Danio rerio: one gene and its partners. The protein of the gene in region 1 purifies or fractionates together with the protein of each later gene. This does not show direct contact. Links are inferred from orthologs where the notes say so. Each region holds a gene or a part of one and is shown in the gene's direction. Other genes may lie near its edges. The genes, in order: med19a, cdk19 and polr2k.

Evidence for each region.
Region 2: the proteins of med19a (region 1) and cdk19 purify together in Homo sapiens (affinity purification with mass spectrometry; 7 studies listed by BioGRID and IntAct, counting the BioPlex papers as one, with this or other methods). This does not show direct contact. The link is inferred for Danio rerio from reciprocal best matches to the Homo sapiens genes MED19 and CDK19.
Region 3: the proteins of med19a (region 1) and polr2k purify together in Homo sapiens (affinity purification with mass spectrometry; 3 studies listed by BioGRID and IntAct, with this or other methods). This does not show direct contact. The link is inferred for Danio rerio from reciprocal best matches to the Homo sapiens genes MED19 and POLR2K.

What each region holds. Positions count from the first base shown.
Region 1 is NC_133189.1:26,391,275-26,395,031, reverse strand, and holds the end of med19a (mediator of RNA polymerase II transcription subunit 19-A), read left to right. Parts: intron 1-680; coding exon 681-777; intron 778-857; coding exon 858-946; intron 947-3,346; coding exon 3,347-3,412; 3' UTR 3,413-3,605; downstream 3,606-3,757. UniProt on the Homo sapiens protein: Component of the Mediator complex, a coactivator involved in the regulated transcription of nearly all RNA polymerase II-dependent genes.
Region 2 is NC_133195.1:3,040,210-3,043,966, reverse strand, and holds the start of cdk19 (cyclin-dependent kinase 19), read left to right. Parts: upstream 1-1,476; 5' UTR 1,477-1,604; coding exon 1,605-1,732; intron 1,733-3,757. Other genes in the region: amd1 (S-adenosylmethionine decarboxylase proenzyme), read right to left, coding at 282-391.
Region 3 is NC_133194.1:13,081,050-13,084,806, forward strand, and holds the start of polr2k (DNA-directed RNA polymerases I, II, and III subunit RPABC4), read left to right. Parts: upstream 1-1,319; 5' UTR 1,320-1,399; intron 1,400-1,663; 5' UTR 1,664-1,665; coding exon 1,666-1,726; intron 1,727-1,923; coding exon 1,924-2,016; intron 2,017-3,757. UniProt on the Homo sapiens protein: DNA-dependent RNA polymerase catalyzes the transcription of DNA into RNA using the four ribonucleoside triphosphates as substrates.

The sequences.
Region 1 (3,757 bases):
CTCACGCTATTTTTTTCCTTTTTCTAAAAGTCTTGATAACACCATCGAGGAGTTTTTTTAGTTGTTATTATCTCTCTCATTACAAATGAACAATGATAGCAAATGTTTAAATGTGGCTTGAAGCATTTTGAGCCAGAGAAAGAGGCCAGTGGCACTTGTAAATCTCAGTTTATATGTGTTTTCCATCAGATTTTTATTTTCACTCTCCGTCTTTTAATCCTGAAGTCTTCTGAAATGGCAATAATTATTTTTTAACATTAATAGATATACATAATTCATATCAAATTCACATTGTTTAGATTACTAGAATGGACACTTTATTTTTCTCCCAGTTAAACAGCCACTTAATGAGTGAGTTTTAGCTACTTGTAGCGTTCAGAAAAAACGAAATACCCATGAAGATACTCGACACAGAGGAACATAACCTACTGCCAGCAAGTGTACGGAAGTGTTATTGCAGAGCAACACAAACAGCATGTATACAGTAGTATAAATGCACGACTACCCGCAAGGCAGGCACCGTGGATCACTGCGATCACGCAGAAGTATAAATCAGCCATTTTAAAAGGGATTTTTGCACAATTGGTCCCCTTTTAAACAAGATGTAGACAGCATATTTTCTAAAGCAATCTAAATGTGTTCTTTGAGCTTCATCTTTATAGTGTTGGTTTGTGTTGCAGCTTCCTGAGCAGTACAGACTGATGCACATACAGCCACCAAAGAAGAAGAGCAAACACAAACACAGACATCATCACCCTCAGGATCCTCTACCGCTAGGTCACTTCAAAAGCTCATGGATTTTCACATTTTATTTCCTCTGTGCACCACATGCATGTTAACTTCCTTTCCCTGTGCAGAAACCCGCACTGACCCCACCAAGAAGAAGAAAAAGAAAGATAATGAACCTGAACGCAGGAAGAAAAAGAAAGACAAGAAGAAAAAAAAGGTGAGCCACTTTGTTGATGCGGCGCAGAATCTTACAAATTTACAATAATTAAAAAGTGTATTGTTGAACAAGGTTGAATGCTACAGGATGTTCCTGTATAAATAATAATGCGTTATTAAAATTTTAAAAATGTATACACATAGGAAGCAGCTTTGCTTTGGTGTAACATCTGAGCAGCCTTGAACAATGCTCTTTATAATTATTTATCATTTTTGCTTCACACAAATATTATTTCAACAGTAAACTGTGTTTATTTTACATTTAAAAGGATGTGTAAGCTTAATGAATGCGCCCTCTTTTACATGAATATTTTACACTAATATAGTTGTGCATATATACTTTAGATTAGTCAGTACTAAAGCTAAGACTGGAACTGATCTAACAAAAAGACTTAACATCACGGTCTAAAAATGAGACCAGCCAAATTAATTAAAGGTGCAGTAGGTGATTGTCTACAGAAACATTTTTTGATGTGCAGGTTGAAAGTCTCTTCACATTCCTATAGTAATGATTAAATTAAATGATCTAAATGTATTTACATGTATTTTTGTATTCTGGGTAAGTCATAAGACTAAAAAATGTTAATTCCCATAATTCTGATAAGTAGCCCAAACTGTCTGTCAACAAATGTAGACTTGTACATCTGCGCTGCTATTCGTGCAAATCTGCCGTTTGTGTGTGCACGTGCGTTCACGTGCACATGAGAGAGAGCGCGACCAGTAAAAACAAATGCTGAAACAAAACTTTATAATCCTGAATCAATATTGAAGTTAGTTTTTATGCTGGAGGAAGAACGAGACCATGGCTGAAGTATTTCTTTTAGACAGGTCATGTTCTGTTTTAAAACTATTAAGTCACACAAAGCTGATGTAGATTCTGTTGTTTCACGGATGTGTTATATGCACGAAAGTGTAATTCCTGCACCCGCCAGCCAACCACTAAGCATACAGTAGTGGCTTTAGGACAAAACGTGGGAGAGAGTGAGACCAACGATCCTTGTATGGATGAAATATTGCACATTATGACAAGTTTTGCTTGCTACACGACTGAAAACATGCTGGATATAATACAGTATTTTGTACTTTACAGTAATAAAGTATTGTAAAGTTTTTCAACTGGCGAATGACAAGAGTTAGTGGGCTGTCTACTGTCATCTTTGCAGTGCGTGTTTGTGATTTCAGGAGGCGTGGCTTTGAAAAATAGGGGTGGGACTGTTTTCTAAGATATTATGCTAACCGGTTAGCATTTTGGCAGATCACCTACTGCACCTTTAATGAGAAACTTTTTGTACAAATTTTCTGTCTCTCTATTCCTGAATGCGTTAGGCGATTTAATTTAATTTGAATAAATATAACAGTTTGATACAACACCAAAATATATTGACGATTCACAGAGAAATTGATTAAAAAAAATAGGAATTTTCCAAAAGGGTTGCAACTCATTTATGCTTTAAACCGTATGCATGTGTGTGTGATTTAATTTTTTTTCTTAAATTTATTTGAATAAAATCATTGTTTTTATCTTTTACTAAAACTAAATAAATTTTCAAACTTACTTTAGACATCTTGCTTCTCAATAAATGTGTCTTGATTTAAGTAACTGATAAGTTATTCACAATAGGAAACAAGACAGTATTTTGCAGTATAACATTTTATAAATAATATTAAAATATAACACATTAGGGCTGCACAACATATTGTTTCAGCATCAATATCACAATGTGATCATTCGCTATAGTCACATCGCACATTTGCATGTGTTTTTGATGCCGCTGATTGTATAAATGATTTTAAAAACATTCAGCTATATGAAATTGTACCATTTGTGACTTTAACAACAATTAATTTTTAATTATTTTTTATTTTTATCATTCAAGTTTTACTTGAATACTGTTAGACTCACACTTTATTTGTATTAAAACACTTTATTTGTATCTTTTTCTTGATTGTATTTATAGATTGTTGTGCATGAAAATACTCGCAACACATGCAAATACAGAAATGCACTGCAAATAGCACAGACCACAATGAAAATGTGCCAGAGGACCCCAAAAATGTTAAAAATAGTAATTATAAGAATCTAATTTTATAAATTATTTCCAAATAGAGACAGTCATCTGGTGAAATTTTATTCATATTGTAAAATATATTGCAGAGATATATTTTTTCCAATATTGCGCATCCCTATAACACAATATTAAATGCTCAATGTTAGTGGCATTCAAAATCAAATCGATGGTCTGCACAGTGTAGAATATGTCCCTAGAATCTACTTGATACCTTAATTATGTTGTAGAATAATTACTTGTTTATTGCTGGGACCTGTCACATTTAAAGTACACCCCATTTAGTCTTGTTAATGCATTTAAAAGGTCTTGGTCTGTTCCCTCTTTTCTTTTAGAATCGACACAGTCCTGATCATCCTGGTGTTACTGGATCTCAACCCAACAGCAACAGCCTGAGATAGAACAGTTGTGTGTGTGCGAGTGTGCTTGTTTGTATGTATGTTTGCACACATGAAGTGATGTTGAACTGTGTTAGAGAATCTGATATGGACCAGTGCGGTTGATTGATGTTTACAAGGGCCAATTGTTGATGATTTTTGACTTCTTTTTCTGGTTATGATGAAAAGCTCAAGGAATAAACTTTGTTATTCTTTATACAGTCTTTAAACACACTCTTTCTTTTTTGTTCACAATAACAGATCATAAAGTGTGCCAAGAAAATATCCCCCACACCATTACACCATCACTAGCCTGAAGTTGTTGATGCCACATTCTGACCATACCATTCGAATGTCACAGCAGAAATC
Region 2 (3,757 bases), on another chromosome or scaffold:
ACGAGCTAATACTGCCAATATGGGCAGCTCGCTGGGGCTGGAGTTGAGCTGCAGTCCTGACAGCTGAAATGAATGAGTCTAAAGGGGGATGGTGTCAAAAACGGCCAGAAGTGCTGATCACGCCACGGGTGTCAGAGCCTGCGCCACATGTCACTCCGCCAGACCTCCTGACATTATCACAGCGTTTCACACACGATTTAAGCCCCAAACGGAGCGTCTGGCTCGGTGAAATCCAGCCCCGCTCCGCCCGAGGCACCCGCGGCTCGGACGGACTCACTCACCTAGGGATTGTGCGCAGATCCCCGGTTCCTTTGGCTTCGTCCTGCCGGGAGAACCACACCTCCAGGAGCTTCTCGGTCCCCTCGAAGAAGTGTGCACTGCTCTCTTCCATCGTGAGACAAACAGACTCCAACAACAGAAAATAAACCGTCGGATGGAATCACAAATTATGTAGTCCTTCGTTGGCGGTTATAACTTAATAGCTTAGTTACAGTCCTTGAGCAGTCCAGATGTAGTTGCCTTATTTTTTTGTTTGTATTTACCGTCTTCCCTTTTACAGAGAATACCGTAGGCGAGTGCTAGCTAATATCGCCGGCCATACTGTGTAAGCGCAGAACGGCAGTCTGCGCGGAGCTTTTATTACCTACCCGACGACGTCATTCTCGTCGTTGCCAATCGCGGCGAGGGAGCCACCCTCAGGTCTACAGCGATTGGTTGAACGGATATCAGTCAAGCGGGATGTTGCGTAAAAGTATGAGTTCACGCTGTAGTAGCGCGTGTGTGAGTGTGTGTCCTTGTATAGATGAGCAAACATTTGCGTTGCTATTGACCTTATTCTAAAATGCGGAAGTGCGCCTGTTTTCGCGATTGTCTTAGAACTTCCGATTCAGTCGCCTATGGGAGAAATGACTAGGAATAATAAACGACAGAAAATGGCCAAACTACTTGCTCAACAAACAAATGTTTGCATGACTACACAGACCAAGTAGCATAATATAATAAGAAAATATTAAATTGCAACATCAAGCAGCGTAACGTGCAGTTGTTAACGTCAAAAAATGAATGGAAGTGAATGTGACCGGAAGTCGCGAGACAAAAAGATTCAAATGGCAGCGCCCGCTCGTCAGCTGAGAATAAGGTGAATAACGCTGAGCCACTGCACAAATAATTGACTCCCATTTATCTAGCACTCTCTTTGAAAAAGAAAAAAACTGTTAGGTTATGTATTCCACACATTTTATTAATTATGTTTAGTTATTATAAGCTTTTTTTCTGCCATTGTGCAAACACTCCAAGCGCTAACGTTCAGAAATGTTAGTTTTGAATCAGAGTGGAAAGACGAAAGGAGGATTTGTTCGCTGTAGTTTTTCAGATGTCCTGCCGCCGTCAACTCGAGCTGGCGCTCCATCAAACGGCACTACGCTCCCCACAATGCAACCCGCCACAATAAAATACGTCACCGAGCACGTGACCGTTAAGCGGAGCCGACCAAAATCCCAAACAAGGAAATGGTGGGGTAATAAAAACGATCGGATCATTTAATTAATGCATGTAATAATTAATATTTTATTTTCTTGTAAATTAAGAAATATTTATGGGTTAAAATGGACTACGACTTCAAAACGAAGCTCGCCGCCGAGAGGGAGAGAGTGGAAGATCTGTTTGAATATGAAGGTTGTAAAGTGGGTCGCGGCACATACGGGCATGTTTATAAAGCGAAGCGTAAAGACGGGTAAGAGACACGCGTTTGATTGACGCGTTTCACTCACTGCACGCGCTTCTGCTGTCTCTGGGTGTGCAGGAGCTTCATATGTGTCGGGGGAATTGCGCTGTTTTCTGTAGCCTGCGTGTGTGTGTGTGTGATTGTTTTTGTTTTCATGGACGCACTTCAAACGGTCCACCCCCAAACCAGCCAGCGTGATGCATGTTTCACTCTTGTGTGCAGGAGTTCACTGCAAATCAGTTCCTCTGTCCAGAAGTTGCATGCGTTTGAAGTCCACTGTGAGTTTGTGTGCTCGGATGAGAAGATGTCATGTTTACATGTGCTGGAATTCAGAGGCTCACCTGTGCACGAGTTGACATACTCATTTACGCAGTATAACAGCTGCCCACTTCTTCATAAGTGCACAAGCTCTTGCGTGCTGGAGTTTATGGAGCATCTGTGATCGAGTTCACGTGCTTGCAGTGTGTGTGTGTGTGTGTGTGCTCTTATTTATACAGGAGTCAATGTGTGCTCAATAAAGGGGTCCTCTTATGACACTTTACACAAGATGTAAAATAAGTCTCTTATGTCTCTAGAGTGTGTGTGTGAAGTTTCAGCTCAAAATACCACACAGATAATGTTTTATATCTCTCTGAAATGGACCCTTTTAGGCTTTGATCCAAATCATGCTGTTTTGGTTACTGTCACTTTAAATTTAAAGCATAGCAGCAGATTCGAAACAGGACTAAAGTTTCTTTGTGAAAAGATGAAAATGTGGTGGCGATGCAGTAAGTAGCACAACCTACTGCGCCACCGCATCTCCAATTTTTTAAATATCTGTGTGATATTATTTTCTGTGGTGGTTCATTCCGCTGCTGCAACCCCTGATAAGTACGAGAGTACAGCCTGGTTTATACTTCTGCGTCAAGTGATCGGCGTGACCCACGGCGCATGCAACGCGCGTAGCCGTGCATTCATACTTCTGCGCGCTATTTCTGATGTTCTGCAATAACACTTCCGAAAAGCTTGTCGGCAATGAGGTGTTAATGTTCCTCTGTGTTGAGTTTATTCGCTGGCGTTTTGTTTTTTCTGAACGCTCAAACTCGCTTATTTTGAGGCAGGAACCGGCGGACATGCAACAACTTTAATCATAACCCACATAGCAAAGTTTCTCTGGCCCAGCTGTGGCCCACACAATCAGGTTTTGCTTGGCCCACATGCCGCAGTGAATTACGGTACATGACTGGACCAAATCTGGCTTCCAGACAAGGGCCAAACACGGACCATATCTGGGCCAAGTCTCAGCCAAGTTAATAACTCATAACTGGGCCTGAACTGGGCCAGATAGGTTGGTGTGTCACGATTGCAATGAAATTGATAAACCCATGGAGTGATGCGCTTTAGGCACACTATGGGCACGCTTTTTCTCAAAGTGACCTGATTGGTAGAATTTATTTTCTTTACTAAAAAATGATTTTAGTGTATTTTAAATGTGGGTCAAAACTGGCCAAACTCACATGGCCCACTTATCAAATTTTTAAATCTGGGCCAAATACTACGTTTTTCATCTGGCCCAAATCTTGTGTGCCGCCTCTGCCAAACCCGGGCCATGTTTGGCCCACATGCTGTATGCCAGTGCCGGATGAATGCCTGCTGTGCCAGCTTTATGCCAAATCTGGGCCAGAATTCTTTGCTACTAGGGAAGGTAAACACAAAGCAAAACCTTTCATCCGGAGCTCCATCACGGGACTCCACACTTGTAAACAATCGCTTCATCGGCCTCGCACAGCTCTCGGTCCCGCCCACACTTGTCAGCGATTCCAAGCTAACCAATCCCAGAGCTTGCGCTACATGTCGTTGCGATGTGTAGTTCCATTTTTTGAGAGGTGCGTGTCAGCGATGGCCACGGCGTTGGGCTATGCGTCAGCGCGTAGGCTGTGCTGTAGCATACGCGTGCGCTTGATGCAGAAGTATAAACAGCCTTAAGCTGGTTTGTGTTCACACTGTTTTTTCCTTCTGAACCCCGGTACGCTTGCGTCATCGAGCTGCTGTTTT
Region 3 (3,757 bases), on another chromosome or scaffold:
TTAATTTTATTTTGAACAACAATATAAAACGTCCAAATTTATAAGTTGGGAGACCTAAAAATGTGAGAATGTACAAAAGCGCTGCTAATAGGAAGTCTTATTTGTTGTTTATTATCTATTGTATAACTGTAATGTTACTGACGGAACCATTTTGATTACAATACAATCATTCTAGACATTCAACATAAAAACAAAACATGAATATCTTTCTGAGATGTCTTTTGGGGATAGTTTCTGAATATTGCTGCCCTCAATAGTTACAATGCATACACCTGTTGATAACTATGGAATATTAAATAATTTAAATATGTTATTACATTTCATAAACCGTTTTAATTACTTGTGCTTACACTTGATTTAGTTATTAATGGCCAACATGTGTCCTGTGGATTTGAATTACCTTCAAATGCAAAGTATATCTATCTTTTGCTCTAAAAATGAACATTAGTTTTAAAAAATCATAATAATATTTAAGGAATTAGCAGTATTTCAGTATTATTGAAACAGTAACAAAACATTTCAGTATATCAAAAAGATAAACAGCTATCAATAATTAGTAACTCTATTAATATGAATAAATGACAATTGGCTGGATCAGCTTGTTCTGACATATACCTTCGTTATAAACACATTATAAATGGGAATGTTGATATGTATTAAACACATTGCCGAGAAACAGAAACTGAAAGGGTGAGGCGGGATTACGACTGCCAGTAAAAAAAAAACACATTACAAACATAAATACTAACAGTGTACAGACTATCTGGTTATACCTATAAAACATATAATAGTATATAATACTGACAGTAAAGTTTTGCAAACTTACCCGAGAGCTGAACGTTTAACGTTACTGGCAGTTTTTGCAGCTGCGACTCACTAACGTTACTTCCTGCTCTGAGACCGTCAACAACACCGACAAATCAAGTGACAATGTACGAAACACATTTCACTCATACAAAAAATCAAATAATAATTATTCATTAATAATAACACATTTCTGTTAGTAAATAAATGTGTTTAGACTGTTTCACAATTTCAGGACAGGTTTAATAACAGCGTTACACATGAATTAATATAAACCATTAGCGTTAAACAAAAAAGTACACAAATAATACGTCTTCATGGTTACGTACGTCTGTCACTAAATGAATGTTTAAAAACGTCGCCGCGAAGTTTTTCTCCGCCATCTGAAATTGCTGGCAGTAATAAAATAAAAGTCCCAGATGAACCTGTAAGTCTCTGCGTAAAATGGTAATGTCCTCCCTCCTGGCGGCGTATGACGAGATTGGTTCAATTCTTGCCAACCAATAGCATTGTTCGTTACTGTGATGTGATGTCGCTTGTGCGCATGCGTGAACGAAAAACGTTTCGAAGCAAACAGAGAGCTCACGCGTGAAAGGTAGCTAATGCTTTGAATGTTTACATTTCGTACTCGTTTGTACACTGATAAATGACAGGATGAATGATATGTGCGGGGTTTTATTGCAATTTTAATATGATGAATTACGTGTCTTGTTGGGTTTATAATGGAAGAACGTGTTTGTGCATAGTGCAGCATCTCTTAAATGTGCTCTTACGATAGGTTTAGGTCAAATAATGTGTAATATTCTAATGAATTTATTCAATTTAGACTATATAATCATGTTTGTGTGTTTGCTTTAAGCCATGGATTCTCAGAAAGACATTCAGCCCCCCAAACAACAGCCAATGATCTACATTTGTGGAGGTGATTGCTCTTTTGATTGTATTTATGTTTATAATCTATATGTATATTGATCTATTAGAAGGTTTATGTATTGATTATATTTTTGTAATCAGTCATTTCTTTCTTAATGCTAAACAATCAAGATGTTCACAATCTAGTCTGTTTTTGAGCTTGAAATTTTGTGTGTGTGTGTGTGTGTGTGTGTGTGTTTGTTTCAGAGTGTCACACAGAAAACGAGATCAAGGCCAGAGACCCCATCAGATGCAGAGAGTGTGGTTACAGGATCATGTACAAAAAGAGGACCAAAAGATGTATCCTTTATCAACTAAACCAATGCTTTGTGGTAGGCCTGGTTGATACGACAAAAAAAGTTGATTAAATTAATTTCACGCTATAATCCTCTCATTTGCTAATAATGAGATATGTCATGATATAGTAACTAGGGATACAACAATACAGTTAGCCTTAGTAAGAGGTTAAGGAGAAAAAACTTATTGCAATACTTCTTTATTTTACTTGATAGCCAAGAAAAGTACACTAGTTTGTAGTTTAATGTATAATAAAAGTAAATTAACTGAAATCTCACAGCTGCTGGTAGCTTATGTACAAACTGGGGAACACGTATATTCCTACATTTTGAAAATACACATACATGTGAAAAATAATTTCAAATAAACATATTTGATGTAATTTTAAGCTCTGGATGTTTATTAGTTTTACATTTTCTAAATGCATATTGTGTCACTGTTTTGGAGCACACTAGCTAATAGGATTGGGCGATGTTGACCAATTTGCCATCATATGATGTATAATGTGAAACAAAGTAATGGACGATAACATCGTTATTGTAGGCGTCAGTGAATTAATTATTAATTCATAACGGATTAATTATTTGTAGCCCATGTTTCAACTACCTGACCCACAAGGTCTTTGTTTTACCCATAACCAAATCAAAAATAAATAAAGTTGCACACAAATTACCACCTTTCAATCACTTTTTCCATTGGACTCTGGCATGAATAGGCCAATAGAGTGATCTGTGTCTTTACAATGACATTGACAAACTTGGTTGGGAAAAAAAGGTGCACAACCAACCAACTGTATCTGAGGTTTTCACTAAAATTACTAAGTATAAGCATGAAAGCGAAACACCGAAGCAGTGTACTGATGCTGTGACACATTACCTGATAGATTCAAAAGACCAAAATGTCTGAAGCTCTGATACGAATGTATACTGCAGGCATAACAGTGTGCATTTTCATCGATATCGAGTGGAAGGAAGGCTTTTCAGAAATGCTAGATGAAACGCCTGTGTGGACGTAGGTCGCTTTTGTTCTAAAATGCCATTTTAAAACTAAGATGTATTAAGGCTGATTTATACTTCTGGGTCAAACACCGGCGTATGCTACGGCGCTGACGCATAGCCCTTCGCCGTGGCCATCGCCGTCACTGACGTGCACCTCTCAAAAAATGTAACTACACATCGCAACAACGCGTAGCGCAAGCTCTGTGATTGGTCGGCTTGGTAGCGCTGACGAGTCTGGGCGGGACCGAGAGCTGCGCGAATGGCGCGACGCCGCGCGAGCGATTGTTTACAAGTGTGGAGTCCCGTGATGGAGCTCCGGATGGAAAGTTTTGTTTTGTGTTTACCTTATAGTTAAAGTTGTTGCACGTCCGCCGGTTCCTGCCTTAAAATGAGCGAGTTTGAGCCACTTGTACATCCCAGAAGTGTTCAGGAAATGCAAAAAAGTAGCGAAGAAACTCAACACAGAGGAACATTTACACCTCACTGCCAACTAGCGTTTCGGAAGTGTTAATGCAAACCGACAGAGACAGCGCGCAGAAGTATAAATGCACAGCCACGCGCGTTGCCTGCGCCGTGGGTTACGCCGGTCACCTGACGCAGAAGTATGAATCAGGCTTTAGTGTAAACGGGGCCTAAGTGTGTATTTTTCACAAACGGATTGCTGCTACGGTGGGGTGGAGGTTAGCGATGCCAGCTCAGCATCGATATGTCTATCGACGATGGCTTCGTCCATCGACCCAACCCTA